3 linked regions of the Arabidopsis thaliana genome follow. The protein of the gene in region 1 purifies or fractionates together with the protein of each later gene. This does not show direct contact. Each region holds a gene or a part of one and is shown in the gene's direction. Other genes may lie near its edges.

Region 1 (6,793 bases):
ACTGTAGCTCCTGGTGGTTCTTCCTCTGCACAGGCTTGCTCTAATACTCTACTTTCTACTGGTACCGGTGCAAAAGATGGAAAGAAAGAAACTGCTACTGGAACACTCTTTGTCGGATCTGATGGCCATGGCAACCACCCAGAGAAGGATAGTGAAAATTGTAAAGAGAAAAATGTTGTACCACCTGTTAATGAATCGCCACATGCTAAAGATACTGATGATGGCTTGATAGAGATTACAGTCCCTGAGCTGGAGATCACCCGTGCAGAAGCAGAAGCAGAAGCAGAAGCGCATGTTTGTGAGAGTGATGAGGACTTACCCAATTATTCTGACATTGAGGCTATGGTAACTCTTGACTTCCATCTTTATTCTTGTGCTATGGTTCCATGACACGTAAACACCTAATCCATAACACTCTTTTTTATTTCAGATACTTGACATGGACTTGGAACCTGATGATCAAGATAATTTTGATCTCGAAGGTAGTTGAGCGTCCCTTCTCGTCCAGTGGAACTCATGTTTCTTTCTATCTATCTACATTTTTGGGAAAAGAAAGCTTTTAGTATGTGAATAGGAATGTATTTCGGCATTTGGCTCCTAAAAGTTATTACATGCTGCAGTGATGTGGGAAACCTTTTCTATGGGTAGCGTATGAGATGTTAGAAGAGGTTTAAGGCTTGTTTGTAAATCCCTAAAATGTTTTCACTTGCAGTCTCCAAGTATCAGAGCCAAGACATGAAAAGAACAATCATAAGACTTGAGCAGGCTGCTCATTCATATATGCAAAGAGCCATTGCTTCCCGTGGTGCATTCGCTGTTTTATATGGCAGATATTCAAAACACTATATCAAGAAGCCTGAGGTAATATTATCTTATTCGTTTAATATTCCTTGTATGATTTGATAAGCTTCTTAAGAATTATAGTAGCACTTGTTGATATCGGGGTTCTTTTTTCTTAACATAGGTTTTGGTGGGTAGATCAACAGAAGACCTCGCTGTGGACATTGATTTGGGAAGAGAAAAGCGGGGTAGCAAAATATCTCGACGACAGGTCGGTCAATAGTAGATACTTCTATTTGTATTTTAGGTCTTTAAGTTGTATGAGAAGCAGCAGCCCAGGATCTGTAATGGTTGTTGTGTATGTTTTTTTCCTTTTTGGGTTACTGAATGCAGGCGATCATACGGCTGGGTGATGACGGTTCGTTTCATATAAAAAACCTGGGGAAGTATTCAATCTCAGTAAATGAGAAGGAAGTAGATCCTGGACAGAGTTTAATCCTCAAATCCGATTGTCTAGTTGAGGTTTGATCCGGGATACTCTTTTATGATCATTACTTACGCTTCTAGGTCCGTACTTAAACCCGATATATGTGCGCGCAGATACGGGGAATGCCTTTTATATTTGAAACAAACCAAAGTTGCATGCAAGAGTACCTGAAGAGAAGAGGGAAAGTGAACTGAGACCAGATCAAGAGTGCGTGTTGTTTGTGTAGATGAATGATGCATCTCTTGTGTAATGTACCTTAGCCATAGGAACACGTCTTGTAGATCTTTTAATACATCTTTAGTTCCGCATCATGCATAGTTGACCCTGTTTTAAGGCGTTGAAATGAAAATACAAGTCTCTTGTATCTGAATTTGTGTTTTAAGCGAAGAATGATTGTTCTTGTGAAGTTGATACACAAGTTCTTTGGATATCCTATCAGTATAAAGGATAGGTTTCCATTTTCGTGACTCACTCACTGATTTCCATTGCTTGAAAATTGATGATGAACTAAGATCAATCCATGTTAGTTTCAAAACAACAGTAACTGTGGCCAACTTAGTTTTGAAACAACACTAACTGGTCGAAGCAAAAAGAAAAAAGAGTTTCATCATATATCTGATTTGATGGACTGTTTGGAGTTAGGACCAAACATTATCTACAAACAAAGACTTTTCTCCTAACTTGTGATTCCTTCTTAAACCCTAGGGGTAATATTCTATTTTCCAAGGATCTTTAGTTAAAGGCAAATCCGGGAAATTATTGTAATCATTTGGGGAAACATATAAAAGATTTGAGTTAGATGGAAGTGACGATTAATCCAAACATATATATCTCTTTCTTCTTATTTCCCAAATTAACAGACAAAAGTAGAATATTGGCTTTTAACACCAATATAAAAACTTGTTCACACCTAAACACTTTTGTTTACTTTAGGGTAAGTGTAAAAAGCCAACCAAATCCACCTGCACTGATTTGACGTTTACAAACGCCGTTAAGTTTGTCACCGTCTAAACAAAAACAAAGTAGAAGCTAACGGAGCTCCGTTAATAAATTGACGAAAAGCAAACCAAGTTTTTAGCTTTGGTCCCCCTCTTTTACCAAGTGACAATTGATTTAAGCAGTGTCTTGTAATTATACAACCATCGATGTCCGTTGATTTAAACAGTGTCTTGTAATTAAAAAAATCAGTTTACATAAATGGAAAATTTATCACTTAGTTTTCATCAACTTCTGAACTTACCTTTCATGGATTAGGCAATACTTTCCATTTTTAGTAACTCAAGTGGACCCTTTACTTCTTCAACTCCATCTCTCTCTTTCTATTTCACTTCTTTCTTCTCATTATATCTCTTGTCCTCTCCACCAAATCTCTTCAACAAAAAGATTAAACAAAGAGAGAAGAATATGGCGAGAGGGAAGATCCAGATCAAGAGGATAGAGAACCAGACAAACAGACAAGTGACGTATTCAAAGAGAAGAAATGGTTTATTCAAGAAAGCACATGAGCTCACGGTTTTGTGTGATGCTAGGGTTTCGATTATCATGTTCTCTAGCTCCAACAAGCTTCATGAGTATATCAGCCCTAACACCACGTACACCATCTCTCTAAACACCACTCTTAAATTAAGCTAATTGAGTTGCTTTGTTTTCTTATAATTAACCACTACTTTTTTGGTGATTTTGTTGGTTATAGAACGAAGGAGATCGTAGATCTGTACCAAACTATTTCTGATGTCGATGTTTGGGCCACTCAATATGAGGTTTTTTTCCTTCTTAGATCTTTCTTCTTCTTCTTGATATGTGTTTCGCTGGTTGGTTAAATTCTTGATGCGTTTTGCTGCAGCGAATGCAAGAAACCAAGAGGAAACTGTTGGAGACAAATAGAAATCTCCGGACTCAGATCAAGTATTTGTTTCTCTCTCTTCTCTTAGATGAGGAGTTTTACTAAAAAAAATGAGTACGAAAATATACATATTTTTAAAATTGTAGGCAGAGGCTAGGTGAGTGTTTGGACGAGCTTGACATTCAGGAGCTGCGTCGTCTTGAGGATGAAATGGAAAACACTTTCAAACTCGTTCGCGAGCGCAAGGTTCTCTTCATACTTTTCCCTTACCTAGGGTTTCAATTAATCCTATATACCCAAGCTTCAGTTTTGAATTGAATTATTAAAAAATGAATTTTATTGTTGTATATATGTTTTAGAAAAAGAAACATTTTGTTTACTGTTGGATAATATATGTTAATTGTATTGTACTGTACAGTTCAAATCTCTTGGGAATCAGATCGAGACCACCAAGAAAAAGGTCACATCTTCTATGTCCACTCACTTTTCCATTTTATCATATTTATTTGTCTCAACAATTTTGTGTCAATTGAATTTATCAACTTACTAAAACTGTTGATAACACTTTTCTTGGACAATTATATTTGTGTGTGTGTGTGTGTGTTTAAGCTAATGGATAAAGAAAATACCAAGTATACTATATAGTGATGTCATAATAACTTGGGTATATATCTTCATAATTTTTTTGGGAGGGAATATTTCTTCATCATTTCTCTTGTGGTTTACACAATTGCAGAACAAAAGTCAACAAGACATACAAAAGAATCTCATACATGAGCTGGTAATATCTCTTTCTGTTTTTCTCAAATGTTGGTTTAGGCATAATACATTCATGGAATACGGAGCCAGTTAAAAAGATATCTAGAAATGTAGTGTAGATTGATCAGTCACTCTTATGTTTTCTTGTGATTCTCTTATCGAAATATCTCCTAGTTAAATCATATATCAAATGTCATGTCATTTCGAATTAATAATATTGGTTTTAGTTATGTGGAATATGGCTTAAAACATGTTTTGGTGAATTAGGAACTAAGAGCTGAAGATCCTCACTATGGACTAGTAGACAATGGAGGAGATTACGACTCAGTTCTTGGATACCAAATCGAAGGGTCACGTGCTTACGCTCTTCGTTTCCACCAGAACCATCACCACTATTACCCCAACCATGGCCTTCATGCACCCTCTGCCTCTGACATCATTACCTTCCATCTTCTTGAATAATTAAAGGCTAAAAGGTTTGCTGGTGCCATCATTGTCTATCTAATTATTTAGTAACTACTTAAAACATAAGGCATGGTGTTGCTAAAACCTTAAACTGTCATGTTTCTTAGTTATGTATTTTAAAGCCTAAAGAAATATGGATTGTGTGATCAGTAGTGCTTAGGCTTATTGTGTGTGGAATGTTTTCAAGACTTTTATCATGTATCGTATTATTATATTGACCACTCTACTTAATTATGCTACAAATTTACTCGATTTGATTTTCTACTTGAATGCATATATATTGTCTGATGAAATACAAATTGAAGTTGTTTCCACAAAACGAATAGACTACCAATCATACTATTGATTTACAAAACTAAAAAGTAAAGACAAATTTTTATACAAGATGTATTCCGAGCCAAATGCAACAACTTTTCGGGTTGTTATGTGTAACCCGAAAACAAAGATATTCAAATATTCACCCTAATGAAGACGTTCACGGTTACCAATATTGATCACAAGTTTGGATGGTAAGGCTCTTTTACTAAACTATCTAGCAAACCAAAAATCATCGCAATCAGAATTATGAATTAAGAGTTAGGAATAAACTTTTGCCTATATAACCTTCCTAGAAACTTCATAGTCCGGTCAATAATAAGACAGGGGAACTTGAAGAGGTCTAGCCTTTGAAGCCTTCTCTTAGTTCAAGATTCCTTGAAGCTCTTCCTTATTGCACATATGCCAGAGAAATTCATAGACATCTTAGCCTCCTTTGTGTTTTACGGTTCATTTAGTTTTTATTTCTTATCTGAACTTGGAGCATTAGAAAAGGGGCAAAGACATTGATTATTCAGAACCAACGAACAAGCCCTGAAACTGAAATACAAACCCTAAGCAGAACCCAACAAAAGAAAAAAAAGAAGAAGAAGCGGAAGAAATAGAAATTCAAACTAGAAGGCAAAGCTCTCTCTCTCAGACCAAATAGTTACAAGAAACCGAGGTTGTTGTTGTTGTTGTTGATGAAGCAGAGTCAGTAGATAAGCAAGACAATGGTGAAGAAGAAGAGGGTGGGCTCTCTCTTCCCACCACGCAACAATCCAGATTTTCCAAGTTCAAGCACTCGTGCTTCCCATCATCGAACATGAAGTCGATGTTGTCCTCAAATGCTAACTCATTGAATAGCTCCGGATACTCTATGGGATTCTCATTCGCGAGATTCTGATCAGTCAAAAACGGAGAAAACCCTGTATCCATCATACAGAAGTTCCAAGCCAGCTCATTGTTGTCCCCACAACGATCCATTTCCATTATGGTTGAAGAGTCTATGCAGCAATTGACCACTGCTGCTTCTTCTGAATATCCTACAATCTCTGCTTCTTGTTGCTCTGCTTTCTCTTCTTCCTTCTCTTCTTCTTCTTGCGGTGGTTCTTCCACGTACTGTTGTTTCACTTCTTCTCTAGGCTCTTCCTTCGCTTCTCTCGTTTCAACTTCTTGTTTGGCTTCAACAAGAATACCCTCTTGATGGTTAGCTTGGTTCACAGGGAACGGGAAAACACCTTTCTTCTTTAACCGGTCAATGTAATTACTAATGTCGAAATTAGTAACCGCGTTTGCGCCTCGATACTCAATCGCAGCCATGTCATATGCTGCAGCAGCTTCCTCCTGCGTATCTGTAAAACCAATAAATAGACAACTGTGTTAGCTAAAAAGCTTCTAAATCAAGACAATGCAAACAAAGTCAGTGTTTTGAAAGTTAACGCAACTTGTTGTTAACTTTCACATTACCTGGTAAGTGGCTATAACCAAATAAGACCAAACAAGTGTTAAAAAGAAGAGTTTCTTCTTTGTCGTTTCATATTTAAATTAGAGAATTTATGATACCTAATAAAGACAAAGAATCAATAGAATTTGGTGACGTGTTTTTGTAGGGACAACTAGGGTTACACGATTTGTGTGGAGATGTGAGGCGTGTACAAAGACCATTTCTCCTCCACTGCGCCGCTCTAAACACTAAAGAGTCCAAACTTGTGACTTAATTTAAGTCATCGCAACAATTTGTGTATATAATTAATACACGAACGTACGATTACTGAGTTAATTAACAATAATTAAAACACCAACCTAGTGTCAACTCTAAGCACTAATCAACTATTAAGTTATAAGTTTGGTACCAGAATAATCTAGAGAAAAATAATGGTAAAGTAGAGAAGACAATTATTAAAAGAAAAGAAGATAAAGTTAGACCAGATTTTGTTCGGAGGACAAAGATGAAAGATATGGTAGAGAGATAGAGAGAGATGAGCAGTGCACGTGAGGGCTCGTGACTCCTACTCAGAGCAAGTCTCAACTCTAACTAATTAATCCAATTTAATAAACCAAAAAAACAAGAGCAAACCAGATCGACCTCGGGTTTGGTCCTAAAGCCTCTCTGAACTATTTTGTCCTTTTATGAAGTGAGAGTGTTATCACGTGACCTACGC
Region 2 (7,362 bases), on another chromosome or scaffold:
TATATAGATATTTCAACTTTTTATAATTAGAATTTGCACCATATAGCAAAAGTTTCCGCTATTTCACCTTTGCATTTTACAATTCTGCCATTTTATTCGACATTGGTTGTCACCTTTATTTTATCCCACATTTTTTCTAATTAGACCATAAGTCATTTTTTTGGTTTCCGTTTGATTGATGAATTCAACATTTTTGTTGTATATGTTCCACGATTTTGCAATGTTCTTCTCAATCGAAGCTAAAGGGATTATATAGACAATTATTGTGTGTGTTTGAATATAGGACGCAGATATAATGTGGCTTAGAGATCCATTTCCTCGGTTATATCCAGATGGAGACTTCCAAATGGCGTGTGACAGATTCTTTGGAAATCCTTATGATTCAGACAATTGGGTCAATGGTGGTTTCACATACGTGAGATCAAACAATCGAAGCATTGAGTTTTACAAATTTTGGCACAAATCTCGTCTAGATTATCCAGACTTGCATGATCAAGATGTGTTCAACAGAATCAAGCATGAGCCTTTTATCTCAGAGATTGGAATCCAAATGAGATTCTTTGATACAGTTTACTTTGGTGGGTTTTGTCAAACGAGCAGAGACATAAACTTGGTTTGCACAATGCATGCTAATTGTTGTATTGGTTTGGACAAGAAGCTTCATGATCTGAATCTTGTCCTTGATGATTGGAGAAAGTACCTGTCTTTGTCAGAACCAGTGCAGAACACGACGTGGAGTGTTCCTATGAAGTGTTTGGAAGATTGAGATTTCCTTCTTTCTTTGTTTTGTTGAGATTTGGATGAAAAGTATATTTAAAAATGAAGAGTTTATTGTTCGTGCAAGGAATATTCTTTAGCTCTCTAATCTAATCAAATATTTTTTTTGATGGTTAATTTTCTCTGTTTGTTAATGTCATTTTTTGTTTTCCGAGCCGAATGCTAGAAAGTACTAAAATAATCTTCTAGACTTTTAGTGTTTTTGGTTTGAAATGTTAATGTATTGAATAAATTGTGTTGTGAAATGATACGATTTTTGTTTCAAACTTTTTCTGAAATTTCTCAAAGTTTTTGATCTTATTTTCAATTACCGAAGCACAAGTTGTAAAAACGTATATATTTTTTCTTTTGAATATAATTTGACATTACATTAAAAAAAAGAAAGAAATGATACGATTTTGATTTTGGTAATATGAAAAATGATCAATGTAGTTTCATAAGTTCTATCAACGTAGATTTTGTAGTCATTTACCCGATTTGTAGATTTAAGTAGTTATTGGTTTGGTCAGTTATAATTTTGGTTTGGGCCTAGATTCGTTACAAGTTTTTTAAATTTAGATGAGATGGGCTGCCGGAGAAGCCCAACACAACATAGGTGGCTTGCCAATTTGCCCAGATGCTTTCGAGTGTAGGTTATATAAGTTTATCATATCTCCATTGGATTAAAAGTAGGCAAGATTTAAACAAAGTGATTCATCAATAATGATATGATATGTGTCATTCATTTACAAATTATGTAACACATAATAGATATTTTGTACCCTAAAATTTTGAAATTTATTGTACATAAATTTTAGAAAATCTGTTGGACTGTGACTAGTTCTTCAACTTATAGAGAGTTGAGTGTGTTTATAATCACATACTGCCTCTTTAAAAAACGTTAACCAAGTCGAAACTCGAATATGGTACTACCACACATGACAAAATAGAAAAAACACTTGAATGTTTACCAAGTAGTACTTGGTCCATTGGCCCAAAAAAAATGAGAATTTGTGCTCCTTTGAAAGGAGTTTTCAACTGCTAGACCCAACCCAAAAGAATGTACGATTAGGCACATTTTCCATAATTGATGTAATGTAAAGAAACACTTGAATTTTAAGTTTTACATATAATATTTACATTTAATTCATCTTCCTCATGAATATGTTGTTCAATTATCAAAGAACCTACAAAGATACAGTATTATAACTATAAGATCACCAAAGAAGAAAACAATCATTTGAATAACAAAAACAGTAAAACACCATATAATAAAACCGTGTTCTAGATACAAATGTAAACCATAGTATCTCACCTTGCTTATCGATTCATCTTTGTAAAAAAAACAAAAACAAATGTGTTCAACTTGGTTTGCAAAAAACAAATAACACAAGTACACAACCATCCATCCAATAACACAATCACAATATTTGTTTCCCAACATTTATGCAACCTTATTTTTAGTGGACACTAACCATAGAAGAACAAATTTCAGTTGTAGTGTTACAAAGTCCATTAAAATTACGCGTTATCAATTACAAAACCACATCTGTTTTTTTTTTTTTTAAACACTTTAAATTTTGTGTCAGATAAAATGAATATATGTTATGACAGCAATCACTTTCAAAAGGCCTATCAAATGGGTCCCAAATGTATAATCCTAATGTCAATCACAAGTAACCTAAGTTCGGCCCAAATACCTGATGGTCCACTTTACAATTTTTCATTAAATAAATATTAAGTAAATAAAATAACAGTAAAAAAAAAGAGTTATTCAGTCTGAAGAACATTAAATTAAGGTTATTAACGTCAAAGAAAAGATAATCATTTTCTCTGGTGGCGGCGTTTTAAAAACATAGATTTGAAATTTTTAACTTTATTCTATAAAACTAAAAAGCTCTCTGTCTAGTAGTATCTAAACGAATTTAACTAAAACCAGCTAAAAACAAGAAGCATAAAAATAATATCAAAGTAGAAACTAAAGGATCTAATAAGTAAGACAAAATTCGAAATTAAGATCCATGGCGGATTTTTGTCTCTTCTCTCATTGGATCGCACTTGACACAAATGATGGTTCGAGACATAACAGCAGAGAAGGGTCCGGTCCGAACCGAAACGGAGGAAGAAAGCAAAAAGGCAAGACCTTTGTTGTTGGGTTGTTGATAAAGAGAGAGAGAGGGGGACACGTGTAGTGAAAAGAGAGGAAGAGAGGTCACTCTCCGTTCCCGGTTCTGTCTCGTGCGGTGCGATTGTTGGGTGCCATGTCAGAGTCCGTTCCCCTATGAGCCCGGCGAATCCGAATCATATGCCTTTCTTTTCGCTATCTCTCTCTCTCTCTCTCTCCCTTTAACCCAAACCCATCTCTCAAAGACTTGACCTTTCTCTCTCTCTATCTCTAATTTATTTATCGTTTCGCGTGTCGCCTTCTCTCTTTCTCTCATTCTCTCTCTCTCTTTCCCTTCGTATCTCTCTCTCGTGAGGCCGTGCCCTAGAAGAAGAAGAAGAAGAAGCCCCTTTCTCCGGGACTTCAATCCCTAACTTCCGTCGCCGGATTTCTCGTCCTTGATTATCGGAGGACTCTTTAACAACTTTATTCCGATTTCAGATTCCCAGATTTGTAAGCTGCTTTCTCCTTTCTGGGTATTTCCTCTTTTTGTATTTGCTTATGTAATTTCGATGATTTATCTTACTTGGTGAGGGGTTTTGATGCTTGTGTAATGTTAATGCTGTTTAATTAAGGACTGATTTAGTGTGATTCGGTTTAATTGAGTTTCTTTGGGGGGGAATTGGGTTTATCTCCAATGAAGCTTTATGTTTAGTGCCAATGTGTGTTGTTTAGCTCTTTTCTCTATTGATTTGTGTGTGAAATTATGTTTGTTTGAGTTTCATTACCAATGGCTGTCTTTACTTGAATCTCAGTGATTCATGAATTCTACCATCTGTCGTTGATTATTTCAGTTATATAGGATCATTGATCTATGTTTTAGAACTAGTGTATTATTGCCTTAGAGAACACCTGATTTTGAAGTAGAGGAATGTAGTTTGCAGTAGAGGAATGTAATTAAGTATGAATTTAATGGAAGTATTCGTAAGGAGTGAGGGAACGAATCGTTTATTATAAAAGCTGTGTTAAGATTAGATTACTTACTAGGTTTGTGTCTCATCTTTAATTAAGACTTTTGATTACGGATGGTGAGGCTTCTAACGTTATACCACCATTTTTAGGGGTGACATCATTTAGTTTCTTAGCTTCTATAGCTTATATGCTTGGATGACGCTGTTTGATTTCATATCGGTTTAAAAGTGAATGAAATTGTGGTTATGGCCTTATGGTTTGGTACACTGTGCTTTGTCCGATGCTGCATCATTGATTTGAGTTATACTTCATTTAATCTTATCAATTTTTCTGTTCAGTATTTCTGAGCATGTGTACAATTTAAGTATTTAACTACCTCACTGTTGTTTCAGTGTCTCTTGATCTTAGATTATGGTTTACATTACTCGTTTTTTGTTTACAATTTTAGTGTAGAGACAGAGTTTTTTGAAGGCCAGTATTCTTTAGTTACTTCGGTAGCTGTGATTTACACATGAAGGTCTATCCGGTTCTCTATCAAGCATATGGTATGGAAACAGAAGTAGAAAATGAAAGATTCAGGCAGTGAAATGATTAAAAGAGATTGGGTCATGAAGCAGAAACGAAGAAAACTTCCGTCTATACTAGATATATTAGACCAAAAAGTGGATAGTTCTATGGCTTTTGATTCCCCGGAATACACTTCTTCCTCTAAACCAAGTAAGCAGCGGCTTAAGACTGATTCGACTCCTGAAAGGAACTCCTCTAAGAGGAAAGGAAATGATGGGGTAACTTCATTTTATCTTTCTGGTGTTCTTAAAAGTTTGTCTCCTTATTTTATTATATGGTGTTGTTTAATTAATCATTTTTCTTTCCTTACAGAATTATTTTGAATGTGTGATCTGTGACCTTGGTGGTGATTTATTGTGTTGTGATAGTTGTCCTCGGACCTATCATACCGCATGCCTCAATCCACCTCTTAAGGTAAATGATTTTTTTTTTTTCCATGTGTCGTTTGTAGTCGTAGATTCGCAACACCTAAATTTGGGAAACTTGTCTTACTCCTTATCTCGTCTCCTCCAGCGGATTCCAAATGGTAAGTGGATCTGCCCAAAATGTTCCCCAAACAGTGAAGCACTCAAGCCTGTCAATCGTTTAGATGCCATTGCTAAGCGAGCAAGAACAAAAACCAAGAAAAGAAATTCAAAAGCCGGACCAAAGTGCGAAAGAGCTTCTCAGATTTATTGCAGTTCTATAATTTCTGGAGAACAATCTTCAGAGAAAGGGAAATCTATATCGGCCGAAGAGAGCAAATCCACAGGAAAGGAAGTTTATTCTTCCCCGATGGATGGCTGTTCAACTGCTGAGCTTGGTCATGCATCTGCGGATGACCGACCTGATTCATCGTCTCATGGAGAAGATGATTTGGGGAAACCCGTCATACCCACTGCAGATTTACCATCTGATGCAGGATTAACGTTGCTGTCCTGTGAAGATCTCTCCGAATCTAAACTATCAGATACGGAGAAAACTCATGAAGCACCCGTGGAGAAGTTGGAACATGCTTCCAGTGAGATCGTGGAGAACAAGACAGTTGCTGAAATGGAGACTGGAAAAGGTAAAAGGAAAAAACGGAAGCGTGAACTAAATGATGGGGAAAGTCTTGAAAGGTGCAAGACTGATAAGAAACGCGCGAAGAAAAGTTTGTCCAAAGTGGGTTCCAGTTCTCAGACTACCAAATCACCGGAGTCTTCGAAAAAAAAGAAAAAGAAAAATCGTGTGACTTTAAAATCCTTGTCCAAACCTCAGTCCAAGACAGAAACACCAGAAAAAGTGAAGGTATGATTTCCTACTCATGATAGATTTTGTAGACATTCTACTATGCTGATACTAGGGAAATGAATTGTCTGAAACCTTAAAATGTTGCATCCACGCCTTTTTCTTAAGTGTGTTGTAGCACTAAAAAGATATAAAAGAAAAAAAATTCAGAGATCAGAGATTTGGTAGAGTTACAAGATTCAGAATCGTTTCAAGATTGTTTGACACTCTGTATTTAATGTTGAGTATCTTCTGCATTAATGTAAAGAGTCTTTGGTCAATATTGCATGTAGTGTTTCTTGTTCTGTCCTGAAGATTGTGGCTATTTTAAGTTCTTATATAACCAGAGTGACATTTTGTTTTGCTTATCATTTTGCGACTCTTCACAAACTCAATATTGTTTTGCCTGTTTATTAGTATAGTGGTTTCTCACAAGTAGTTATGATACATGTGACTATACCTCTGTTTCGGCAGATGAATTATGGATACCTCTTTTAACTGCAGGAGCTTGGAAATAGTTTGATTTTTTTTCTTTAGGAATTTAGAGTTGAAATTTCTTGATGGTCCTATTGATTTCTTTTTTTATTCGTTGTTGTTCTTGCATCATCTTTCATTTAGTATATGTTCTTAACCACTTATACGTACTAATGCAGAAGCTTCCCAAGGAGGAACGTCGTGCAGTACGTGCCACTAATAAATCTTCTAGTTGTTTGGAAGATACAAACTCTCTTCCGGTTGGAAACCTCCAGGTATCCATCAAAATAAAAATGTTGTTCCTTCAGAATTATCTATTATGATGCGCCCTCATTTCTGGTGACTCATGTGTTGCTCATGCTTGTTAATATCTCTTTTCATTCTTTTGTTTGTGGTTTCCTAACAGGTTCATCGTGTTTTAGGATGCCGAATCCAAGGTCTGACTAAAACCTCGCTGTGTAGTGCTCTTTCAGATGACTTGTGTTCGGATAATTTACAAGCTACTGACCAACGGGATAGCTTAGTACAAGATACGAATGCTGAATTAGTAGTTGCTGAGGACAGAATAGATTCTTCTTCTGAGACAGGTAAAAGTTCGAGGGATTCACGACTGAGGGATAAAGATATGGATGATTCTGCTTTAGGTACCGAGGGTATGGTTGAGGTGAAAGAAGAGATGCTTTCTGAAGACATTTCCAATGCCACATTGAGTAGACATGTGGATGATGAAGATATGAAAGTTAGTGAAACGCATGTATCTGTTGAGAGGGAGTTACTTGAAGAAGCACATCAGGAAACAGGGGAAAAAAGCACTGTGGCTGATGAAGAAATTGAGGAGCCTGTTGCTGCTAAAACTTCAGATCTTATTGGTGAGACTGTATCATATGAGTTTCTTGTTAAATGGGTGGATAAATCTAATATTCATAATACTTGGATTTCTGAGGCGGAGCTGAAAGGTCTAGCTAAAAGAAAACTAGAGAACTACAAAGCAAAGTACGGAACAGCTGTAATAAACATCTGTGAAGATAAATGGAAACAGCCTCAGCGAATAGTTGCTCTCCGGGTTTCAAAAGAAGGTAACCAAGAAGCTTACGTAAAGTGGACAGGCTTAGCTTATGATGAATGCACGTGGGAGAGCTTGGAGGAGCCTATTCTTAAACATTCATCCCATTTAATAGATCTTTTTCATCAGTATGAGCAGAAAACATTGGAAAGGAATAGTAAGGGTAATCCCACAAGGG
Region 3 (10,174 bases), about 18 Mb from region 1:
AACAGATCTATCGCTGTATTTTCGTCCTTTAGGTTCTCTGTGATCCTCTCAAAACCGCCAAGGTTTGGTTCGGATGAGTTTTGTCCTGAGACGATGACTCCGTGTTTCTTGCAACAAGTCTTGATGTGAGCAAGCAATGTCTCAGGGCTCGAGAGAGATTTCAGTGATTGGTATATGAAGAGTTTTCTTGAATCTTAATTTGTTGTATATGAAGACCGAATTTTGGATAAAGAAGTTACATATTAGTATATTACGCGACAAGAGATACACGAATGCAACTTCGTACTGTATATAGAAACGCATGCTTTTACATTAATATAACATAAACAAAACAAATCAAGACACAGACAAACACGTGTGAACAAATACACAGTACAGGGAAAGGATGGATTTATAAGCTTTTGTTCATGTTCTCTTGGAGAGTGCTGACCAGATGGATAAAACTAGAAGAAGAAGTGAAGCAAATAGAGATAAGGCAAGCGAAGTTGCGATGTAACGACAAAACTTGTCGTAGACATTACAGATCTTGTTCCACCCAACTTCTTCGTTTCCTTTCAACGCTATGTACGCAACTCCTCCCGCCGTTCCCGTTGCAGACGCCAAAATCCCCAGCATCACCTGTTCATATATACATATTCCGGAATTATTACTTAAAACACCCTAATTAACATGGTATATGGAAGTTTCAAAGTTCCTTGTAAAACAAGTTACCATGTCTAACGAGGCTAGGTAAATGGAGAACTGTGCAGTGAACTCAGGTTTCAAGAGTAGAGAGATGGAGACAAGTGTTGATATGAGCGCATAGAAACTAGCTACCACGAGAGCAACCACGAAGTATCTGCATAGATATATAGCCAATTTAACACATTAAGTTTAAACTAGAAAACATTCCATGATTATGATCAAACATGGAGGAATTTAATTAATTAAAGAGACAAACATGAAAGCGGGCGAGTCATTGAACTCGGCGGAGACAGGAGCCGGAGACGAAACTCCAGGGAGCTGAGTCATCTCTGTCTGGTCGCTAGTCACCATTACTATAAGAGCAGTCAGAGTGGCGGAGAAAAGCAGAACTCTTGTTATAATGTCTATTTTACGACAATCTAGGAAACTGGCGGCTGATGAGGGTGGTGGTGTAGCCGACGCGGGAATCGGTTCAGATTTGCCAGTTTCAGGGTCAGGGTTCTCAGTAGACGCCATCAGATGATTCTATAACTCTTTTGTGGATTAGGTTGTGGTTAAGTTTGGACTGTGAGTTATGAAGTTGGCCGCTACATGAGATTATTTGTGAGTATATATATATAGATAGTCCCGGTGATGAGTTGTAGTTATTACCCACACGCCAAGAAACAAATTTATATTTATTTACACTATTCACTAATGTATATATACAGGAACATGAATATCAATTCATTTAATTTCTAGCTTGCATTTTTCATTGTTTAAAATTTCGAAATAGTTTTTGGAAAATTCACTAGATGTTGTAGTTTTATTTCAACGTTAACATATAATGTTTGTTACAACAAATTTTGCATGCATATCTATTTTTGATTAATAGAAAAATTAATATATTTCTATAGGTATAAGTTATGGATAATGTAGATATATACAATGGGAATGTGTTAGGCCAACCCCGGGAAGGTTGGTGAGGAAATTGGGCGACGGTAATCAAAAACAAAATACAAAAAAGGAGAGTAAAGAACAGTAGGAGTGGTTAACCAATCATCTGCATGAAAAAGGTAATTTTATACATGCTCTTAGGTATCACTTTGCTTTCTGCTTGTGGCTGCAAATCATGTAAATGGATATCTTATTTTATGTAAAAACATTAAACTGCAAGAAACAAATGTCCCAGTAGCATGACCACTTCAGCACTTCTCAAACATATTATAATGTTTTAACATGGATAAAGCTATTTCAGATACTAATCCAGTCGAAATAGAGTAGTTTTGTCTTAGCAAAATCACCAAACTTTATCTCTTGATACCAATACAGAGTGACTGCACAAGTCTGAGAACAACACAAAAAAAGTCAGACCTAACAGTAATAATATATATGAACTCATCATGATTTTTATTTCATATCTTAATAATACCTAACTGGTTTTAGTAAATCCAAATATATAAAATTAGAGATAGCTTTAACAAATTGGGGGCGATGATCAATCACAAAGATTAAAAATAGTGTAACTGGAGAATCTTTCTCGAGCAGCTCCAGCATAGTAATAAGTTGGGGAAAATATCGGGCTTGAAAGTGGGTCTTATGGGTCAGTCAGGCCCAACTATGATTAAACAAAGCCCAAATCGCGAATGTTCCAAAACAACTCTCTTGCTCAGGTGGCGGGTAATTAATTACTAATTCCCCGTTCGATGAAGCGACTAGTTACATCGTAGCCATATATTTATTCAGCTTAATCAACGGTTACAAATTACCCTGAAGCTTCGGTCGTTTTGCAATTTGTATCTAAAGTTTCACTTTTTTTTTAAAATCTTTATTTTACTTTCTCACAAGCGAAGCGAACCCTCGATCTCAAGGCGAAAGCAGATTTCGTAGCTTCCATGGCGAGAAATTCGAATTCCGATGAGGCTTTCTCGTCAGAGGAGGAAGAAGAGCGGGTTAAGGATAATGAAGAAGAAGATGAGGAGGAGCTCGAGGCTGTTGCTCGTTCTTCTGGCTCCGACGATGACGAAGTAGCCGCCGCCGACGAATCACCAGTCTCCGACGGAGAGGCTGCTCCCGTAGAAGATGATTACGAGGTAGCTGCAGGCTAATTTCGTTTTGATGGCTGTGATTTTTGAAATCTCAGTGAACTGCATCTTTTTTGTACTTGGAAAGTTGAAATTTCATTTAATGCAATGGATTCGGCGTTCGCGTCTTCCTTCGTTTGTTAGTTTTAGTCGAATTTTTGTTGAGTGAAAGTTCATTGAATGTCTGCGCATGGTGGCTCATTGTGGTATAAGCAGGACGAAGAAGATGAGGAAAAAGCTGAAATCAGCAAACGTGAGAAAGCCAGACTTAAAGAGATGCAGAAGTTGAAGAAGCAGAAGATTCAAGAGATGCTGGAGTCGCAGAATGCTTCCATTGACGCGGATATGGTGCGTTGTTTGAACTATATATTTCAGGTTTTTAGCTACTTTTCGTTCTCGTGCTTTTAAGTTCTGACGATTCTGAATCATTCCATGTGTTTTAGAACAATAAGGGAAAAGGGAGACTGAAGTATCTTCTGCAGCAAACTGAGTTATTTGCCCACTTTGCTAAAAGTGATGGATCTTCTTCTCAGAAGAAGGCAAAAGGAAGGTGTGTTAGATGCAATTTTTTCCTAAAATATCGGTTCATCATTGCTTCTAGCTTCAGAGTAAATATGATGAGCCAGGCCCTGATTTATGTGGTTTTAACTTCTACCTTCAGGGGACGTCATGCTTCCAAAATAACTGAAGAGGAGGAAGACGAAGAGTATCTAAAGGAAGAAGAGGATGGCTTAACTGGATCTGGAAACACACGGTTACTCACACAGCCCTCTTGTAAGTACCTGTATTTTGCTCTTTAGTCTAGGATTACTGTATATTAATCGTCTCTCTAGTCTCGAGCAACAAGTACAATATGATTGACATCTCCGTCCATTTGCGTAACCATACATATTTTTGTGACCTCACAGTTAGTATGTAGTATAGCGTAAATTACTGGGAAAGCTTGAGATTCATCTATTTTTCTTCTCAATCGACAGGTATTCAAGGGAAGATGAGAGATTACCAATTAGCTGGTTTGAACTGGCTCATTCGTCTTTATGAGAATGGCATAAATGGAATTCTTGCTGATGAAATGGTAAATAATTCTCCCCCAACGATCCAAGCAGAATAAGTTCTCTATATTCTGTCATGCTAATCATGAAACTTTTTTTTCCCTGTGGTCTAGGGTCTGGGGAAGACGCTTCAAACGATTTCTTTGTTGGCATATCTTCATGAATACAGGGGAATCAATGGTCCCCATATGGTGGTTGCTCCAAAATCAACACTTGGTAATTGGATGAACGAAATTCGCCGGTTTTGTCCTGTCCTACGTGCTGTGAAGTTCCTTGGTAATCCTGAGGAGAGGGTAAGTCATGAGCTGTCTGCCATTTCAGAATTTCATGTAAACGTTTATCCCAGGATTCTGAAATGTCTGCTAACTGATGCAGAGACATATTCGAGAAGACCTGCTAGTTGCTGGGAAATTTGATATTTGTGTCACAAGCTTTGAGATGGCCATCAAAGAGAAGACAGCACTTCGTCGGTTTAGCTGGCGTTATATTATCATTGATGAAGCGCATCGAATCAAGAACGAGAATTCACTCCTTTCTAAAACCATGAGACTTTTTAGCACCAATTATCGGCTTCTTATCACGGGGACCCCCCTTCAGGTGTTTGCTCTATCTTATTCTTGAATATTTGGACATTGAAGTTTTCTTTGTTAAGTTGCTTCTAATTGAATGTTGAAACAACCTTTCTTGTACGGCTCTGTTTGCACTCTTAACTTTTGCTTTTCCGGGCACTTTTAATATTTACCGTATAATGACTGTGTAGCCTGCTGTACTCATATTGTCCTCATATATGCAGAATAATCTCCATGAACTGTGGGCTCTTCTAAATTTTCTTCTGCCTGAGATTTTTAGTTCAGCAGAGACTTTTGATGAATGGTTTCAAATTTCTGGTGAGAATGACCAGCAAGAAGTTGTGCAACAACTGCACAAGGTATGGATGCACCCATTCCTTGCATTGAGTTTATTCTGTTCTGTGTGAGTCGTAGGTTAATTGCTTTCATGTATCTTTTTAGGTTCTTCGACCATTTCTTCTTCGAAGACTAAAGTCAGATGTTGAGAAAGGTTTGCCACCGAAGAAGGAGACCATACTTAAAGTTGGTATGTCTCAGATGCAAAAGCAATACTACAAGGCTTTACTGCAGAAGGATCTTGAAGCGGTTAATGCTGGTGGAGAACGCAAACGTCTGCTAAACATTGCAATGCAACTGCGTAAATGCTGCAATCACCCCTATCTCTTCCAGGGTGCAGAACCTGGTCCCCCATATACCACAGGAGATCACCTTATAACAAATGCTGGTAAGGCTAGAAATAAACTAGATCCTTCAGATTTCTGTGGAAGTTTTTTATGAAGCATCTCTATATTGTTATTTTAGGTAAGATGGTTCTCTTGGATAAATTGCTTCCTAAGTTGAAAGAACGTGATTCAAGGGTGCTGATATTTTCTCAGGTAAACGCTAATACAGAACAGCTGGATATAATGGTTTCTTACAGTTCATCTTCTCTTTTTCCTTTGTCTATGTAAAGTCTGAGCCTTATTCTTTTCTTTCCACATGTCAGATGACAAGACTTTTGGATATTCTTGAGGACTATTTAATGTATCGTGGTTACTTGTATTGCCGTATTGATGGAAACACTGGTGGTGACGAACGAGATGCCTCCATAGAAGCCTACAACAAGCCAGGAAGTGAGAAATTTGTTTTCTTGTTATCTACTAGAGCTGGAGGGCTTGGTATCAATCTTGCTACTGCAGATGTTGTGATCCTTTACGATAGTGATTGGTAAGTCTCTCATCATTGTCCACTGTAGTTTATGAACTTTCTCTTCACGTTTGACGAGTCTGGCATATTCTGGCAGGAACCCACAAGTCGACTTGCAAGCTCAGGATCGTGCCCATAGGATTGGTCAAAAAAAAGAAGTTCAAGTGTTTCGATTCTGCACTGAGGTTGGTCTCCTCTCCGTGAATTTCAAGTTAAAACAGCCATGAGAGGTTTAAAATTAATTATGTGTTGTTTGTTTACAGTCTGCTATTGAGGAGAAAGTGATTGAAAGAGCTTACAAGAAGTTAGCACTTGATGCTCTGGTTATTCAACAAGGGAGATTGGCAGAACAGAAAAGTAAGTGCGTTATACAGTGATTGCTTTATGCATTGGTTCATCTCTGACAGAATTGGTATTTATCTTAACTATGCAGCTGTCAATAAGGATGAGTTGCTTCAAATGGTAAGATATGGTGCTGAGATGGTGTTCAGTTCTAAAGATAGCACAATCACAGACGAGGATATTGATAGAATCATTGCCAAAGGAGAAGAGGCAACAGCTGAACTTGATGCTAAGATGAAGAAATTCACAGAAGATGCTATACAGTTTAAAATGGATGACAGTAAGGGTGTCACTTACCTACTATTTCCCCTATTAGGTTGTGTGAATATTGTAATGTTTTGATAATCTGTTGTTTTATTTGTTGTAGGTGCTGACTTCTATGATTTTGATGATGACAATAAGGTAACTTGTATATTTCTTTGCATAGTCTTAACTTTCATGTCATATCCCTAGCTTTGCTCTGCATTACTGATGATAAAATTTACTAATATATTTGTAAATTTGTTCATAGGATGAAAACAAGCTCGATTTTAAAAAGATTGTAAGCGACAATTGGAATGATCCCCCCAAGCGGGAGAGAAAGCGCAAGTAATGATTACTTCTGTCTTATACATTGTGCAGTCCTATTTTGCCAGTCTTCATATCTAAAAGAAACATCCCTTTTGTTTTATCTACTGTATCTTCAGCTACTCTGAATCTGAGTACTTTAAGCAAACATTGCGGCAAGGTGCTCCAGCTAAACCTAAAGAGCCTAGAATTCCGCGCATGCCCCAGTTGTGAGTACCTCAACAACCTCCATCTCATTGTTGAATGCCTTTTCCCTGTTTTGATGATTTTCTTACACTAGAAATCTAATTTATTGTCCCTCTTTCAGGCACGATTTCCAGTTCTTTAACATTCAGAGATTGACCGAGTTGTATGAAAAGGAAGTACGTTATCTCATGGTAGGCCTCTCTCAAAACGAAACACTTGATTCCTTTGATGTGCTTAAGAGCGAGTTTTTTTGCCTTATAAAAGCAACTTGCTTCTTTTTGTGCTTTTTGGTTTCAGCAAACACATCAGAAAAATCAGTTGAAAGACACAATTGATGTTGAAGAACCAGAAGGTCAAGCTTGTACCCACTTTGTTAACATGTACCCACTTTGTTAACATGTTTTTCAGCAAACCTATTACTGATTAAGAATTTTTTTGTTAGAAGGTGGGGATCCCTTAACTACTGAAGAAGTAGAAGAAAAGGAGGGATTATTGGAGGAGGCAAGTGAATATGTTTGATGTTAGAGTGGTCTTAGACATTTGATTTGGTAGGCTTTAATTAATTTTTTGTAATTGTCAATCTCCAGGGTTTCTCAACATGGAGCAGAAGAGATTTTAATACTTTCCTCAGGGCTTGTGAGAAGTATGGCCGCAACGACATAAAAAGCATTGCCTCTGAGATGGAAGGGAAAACAGAGGAAGAAGTTGAAAGATATGCCAAAGTATTTAAAGAGCGGTACAAGGAGCTGAACGGTAAGTAACACCTTTCAATGCTAAGTTATGCAGTGTTTTTACATGTTTCTAAGTAATTCCTACCTCCAAAAAGAGCTTATGCTAAGTAAGTTTATCATCTTTCCCTCTAAATATGTAGACTATGATAGAATCATTAAGAACATTGAGAGGGGAGAGGCAAGGATCTCTAGGAAAGACGAAATCATGAAGGCCATAGGGAAGAAACTGGATCGCTACAGAAACCCTTGGCTGGAACTGAAGATTCAATATGGTCAGAACAAAGGCAAGCTGTACAATGAAGAGTGTGACCGTTTCATGGTATGTCTTTTTCTCGTTTCCCTTTTTGCTGTTCTGTCTCATTAATTATATCATGAAGTTTTTGACTGTTGAGGAACTTTGGTGGTGAAAAACAGATCTGCATGATTCACAAACTTGGTTATGGGAATTGGGATGAGCTAAAGGCAGCATTTAGGACATCGTCTGTGTTCAGGTTTGACTGGTTTGTGAAATCCCGCACGAGTCAGGAACTTGCAAGAAGATGCGACACTCTGATTCGACTGATCGAGAAAGAGAACCAGGAGTTTGATGAAAGAGAGAGGCAAGCCCGCAAAGAGAAGAAGCTCGCGAAGGTAAAATAATGCAATATTTTCATGTATAAGGTTGTATTCTTTTGATTTGATTTCTTTAGGTGGTTAATGCTTTTCTGGTTTTTAATCTTTGAAGAGTGCAACACCATCAAAGCGACCTTTAGGAAGACAAGCAAGTGAGAGTCCTTCATCGACGAAGAAGCGGAAGCACCTGTCGATGAGATGAGATTATGTGTTTACGGATCTGTCGAGTCTTTGTTGTTACATATAGTTAAGCTAATGTTAAAAACATAGCAAATGGATTTCATTCTGCTTTCATGAATGTTTGTCCTGGTTTGACTTGGATTTAATGAAATGACTTAATTATAATTTTGTAGACTTCTCTTCCGTAAAGAAACTGAACAAAAGGATTTGAGGCCATTGGATGGCAACTTAGGCTGAAGCTTAAGCAAAAGTTATGAGTTTCTGAGGGATATATGAACAGACGATTTTTTCCACAATTTATTACTTCTTTGTTCAACGGTTGCATTTTATTTACTTAGAGAGGAGAGATCTGATACTTTTGTGGAAAGAAGATGTACATAGGCATTGTTCGTGCAATGTGCAGTGATTGAATGTAGATGTCATTGGATACAACTTACAAGAACGAGGAAGAGAAAATGTGTACACTATATCCGTTTATGCTTCTTTCTACGTTCGCAGACATTTTAAATTACTCCTCCAGATTCATGAAGGAATAAAAACAGGGGACTTCTGATGAATGTCGCTTGAATAAGGCCATTTATTAGTAATTCGTTATTCAAGAAAAATAAACAAGAGAGGAGAGATGGCCGTATGAGAGAATATATTATATATGGACAAATGGTCAATGACAGAAGCTTTAGTCTCTCTGCTTCCATCAAATCTCAGACCCCAAAAATAATCTTCTTTTCTCTTTTTTTCTTAATGTTGCTTAGTTCATGAAGAATTGAGAATATTTTCCTCTCTTTTTTTTTTTTAACTTGAAGTCTTAGCTTCTATGCTGCCACTGACGCTGGCTGAGTCACCACTCGTCTCAGCTGGCTCAGGACGGCTCAAGCCACTGACCATAGAAGAAACTGCAGGAGTCACAGCCTCTTTGGTGGGTTCATTGCTAGAGCTTACTGGAGCTGATGAGCCGCTGAGTGAGGATGATCCGATTGGGTATGGCGCCACGGGCATATCAGTTAGTGATGATGCAGACGGACTGTAGCTAAGCGAAGAACTCATTGAGTGATCAAACTTACACGCCGGTCCAAACTTGCAGATTCCGTGTTGAGCAAAGTGAGTGCATTGCGCTACGCCCTGTCAAATACATTGAAACGTATCATATCAAGACTCGTTGAAAATCTTATATTGGATCGAGTTTGTATCTCTAGAAAAATGAAAAAAGACTTACGGGACGAAGTGGAAGGCCAATGGAGCTGAGGACAATGCCAGTCTTAGGTGGAACTGCATCTACAGGATGATGGTATCGACACGAAGATCCGAATTTACAGTCACCAGTTCTCATGAAGTATTGACACTCGGGTTGATCAGGTCGCTGAGGAAACTCTTTTGAGGTGGAATTTGAAGAAGGCACAGATTGATATGTTCCTGTATATGCAGTCGCTGAAGGAGATAACGGCGTGAGTCCATAAATAGAGCTTGATCCAATAGACGGTTGAGTTCCAGGCGAAGGCATTGCACTTAAAGAAGCCTAAAAAGTCGATAGATTCATTTACAAAAAGAGTAGCAATGAAGAATCCTACAAAAGCGAGATAAAGGCTTAGAAGATGGATTTACCTGGTAAGGATTCCAACCAGAGTATGGAACCATTCCAGGAGGCAGAACCATTGGAGGACCGTAAGGGCTTTGAAGATATGAACCAGTTAAAAAAGAAGGCCTAGTCAAAACTAACCCATATTGTTGAGACGAAGGAATAGATTGAGATTGAAGTGTCGGATAAATAGTCTGTAGCTGCGGCTGTGGCTGTGGCTGCTGCTGTTGCGGCTGCTGAGGTGGACCCTGTACAGCGAGTGGCACGGGATGGTTGAATCTACAAGTCAAACCAAATTTACACTGACCGGTTCTCAAGTAATAAGAGCACTCTTTCTCTCCCTGTAATCAAAATTTTGAAGAGCTTTTAGAGATCATACAATACAATGTGGAAGCATCCACATAACCATTAGAGAGATTAGAAGACAAAC

What was found.
Region 2: the proteins of AP3 (region 1) and CHR4 purify together in Arabidopsis thaliana (affinity purification with mass spectrometry, with the first as the bait; one study listed by BioGRID). This does not show direct contact.
Region 3: the proteins of AP3 (region 1) and CHR11 purify together in Arabidopsis thaliana (affinity purification with mass spectrometry, with the first as the bait; one study listed by BioGRID). This does not show direct contact.

The regions. Positions count from the first base shown.
Region 1 is NC_003074.8:20,116,966-20,123,758, reverse strand, and holds AP3 (K-box region and MADS-box transcription factor family protein), read left to right. Parts: upstream 1-2,444; 5' UTR 2,445-2,671; coding exon 2,672-2,859; intron 2,860-2,960; coding exon 2,961-3,027; intron 3,028-3,110; coding exon 3,111-3,172; intron 3,173-3,256; coding exon 3,257-3,356; intron 3,357-3,528; coding exon 3,529-3,570; intron 3,571-3,846; coding exon 3,847-3,891; intron 3,892-4,136; coding exon 4,137-4,331; 3' UTR 4,332-4,619; downstream 4,620-6,793. Other genes in the region: emb1967 (Forkhead-associated (FHA) domain-containing protein), read left to right, coding at 1-345, 431-482, 713-861, 965-1,051, 1,174-1,302, 1,381-1,461; WRI1 (Integrase-type DNA-binding superfamily protein), read right to left, coding at 5,160-5,189, 5,292-5,983. UniProt on the Arabidopsis thaliana protein: Probable transcription factor involved in the genetic control of flower development. Is required for normal development of petals and stamens in the wild-type flower.
Region 2 is NC_003076.8:18,089,199-18,096,560, reverse strand, and holds the start of CHR4 (chromatin remodeling 4), read left to right. Parts: upstream 1-2,653; 5' UTR 2,654-3,373; intron 3,374-4,280; 5' UTR 4,281-4,398; coding exon 4,399-4,617; intron 4,618-4,711; coding exon 4,712-4,813; intron 4,814-4,912; coding exon 4,913-5,668; intron 5,669-6,300; coding exon 6,301-6,396; intron 6,397-6,527; coding exon 6,528-7,362. Other genes in the region: AT5G44820 (Nucleotide-diphospho-sugar transferase family protein), read left to right, coding at 284-766. UniProt on the Arabidopsis thaliana protein: Chromatin-remodeling protein that binds DNA through histones and regulates gene transcription. May specifically recognize and bind trimethylated 'Lys-27' (H3K27me3) and non-methylated 'Lys-4' of histone H3. Probable chromatin remodeling factor.
Region 3 is NC_003074.8:1,938,508-1,948,681, forward strand, and holds CHR11 (chromatin-remodeling protein 11), read left to right. Parts: upstream 1-2,465; 5' UTR 2,466-2,558; coding exon 2,559-2,756; intron 2,757-2,963; coding exon 2,964-3,095; intron 3,096-3,190; coding exon 3,191-3,297; intron 3,298-3,408; coding exon 3,409-3,521; intron 3,522-3,724; coding exon 3,725-3,822; intron 3,823-3,912; coding exon 3,913-4,092; intron 4,093-4,174; coding exon 4,175-4,396; intron 4,397-4,592; coding exon 4,593-4,727; intron 4,728-4,809; coding exon 4,810-5,092; intron 5,093-5,169; coding exon 5,170-5,243; intron 5,244-5,353; coding exon 5,354-5,574; intron 5,575-5,650; coding exon 5,651-5,738; intron 5,739-5,816; coding exon 5,817-5,910; intron 5,911-5,986; coding exon 5,987-6,181; intron 6,182-6,262; coding exon 6,263-6,297; intron 6,298-6,406; coding exon 6,407-6,483; intron 6,484-6,581; coding exon 6,582-6,671; intron 6,672-6,769; coding exon 6,770-6,839; intron 6,840-6,945; coding exon 6,946-7,000; intron 7,001-7,090; and 12 more. Other genes in the region: AT3G06390 (Uncharacterized protein family (UPF0497)), read right to left, coding at 406-618, 712-838, 941-1,200; AT3G06410 (Zinc finger C-x8-C-x5-C-x3-H type family protein), read right to left, coding at 8,964-9,290, 9,385-9,684, 9,771-10,085. UniProt on the Arabidopsis thaliana protein: Possesses intrinsic ATP-dependent nucleosome-remodeling activity. Constitutes the catalytic subunit of several complexes capable of forming ordered nucleosome arrays on chromatin. Involved in the formation of nucleosome distribution patterns.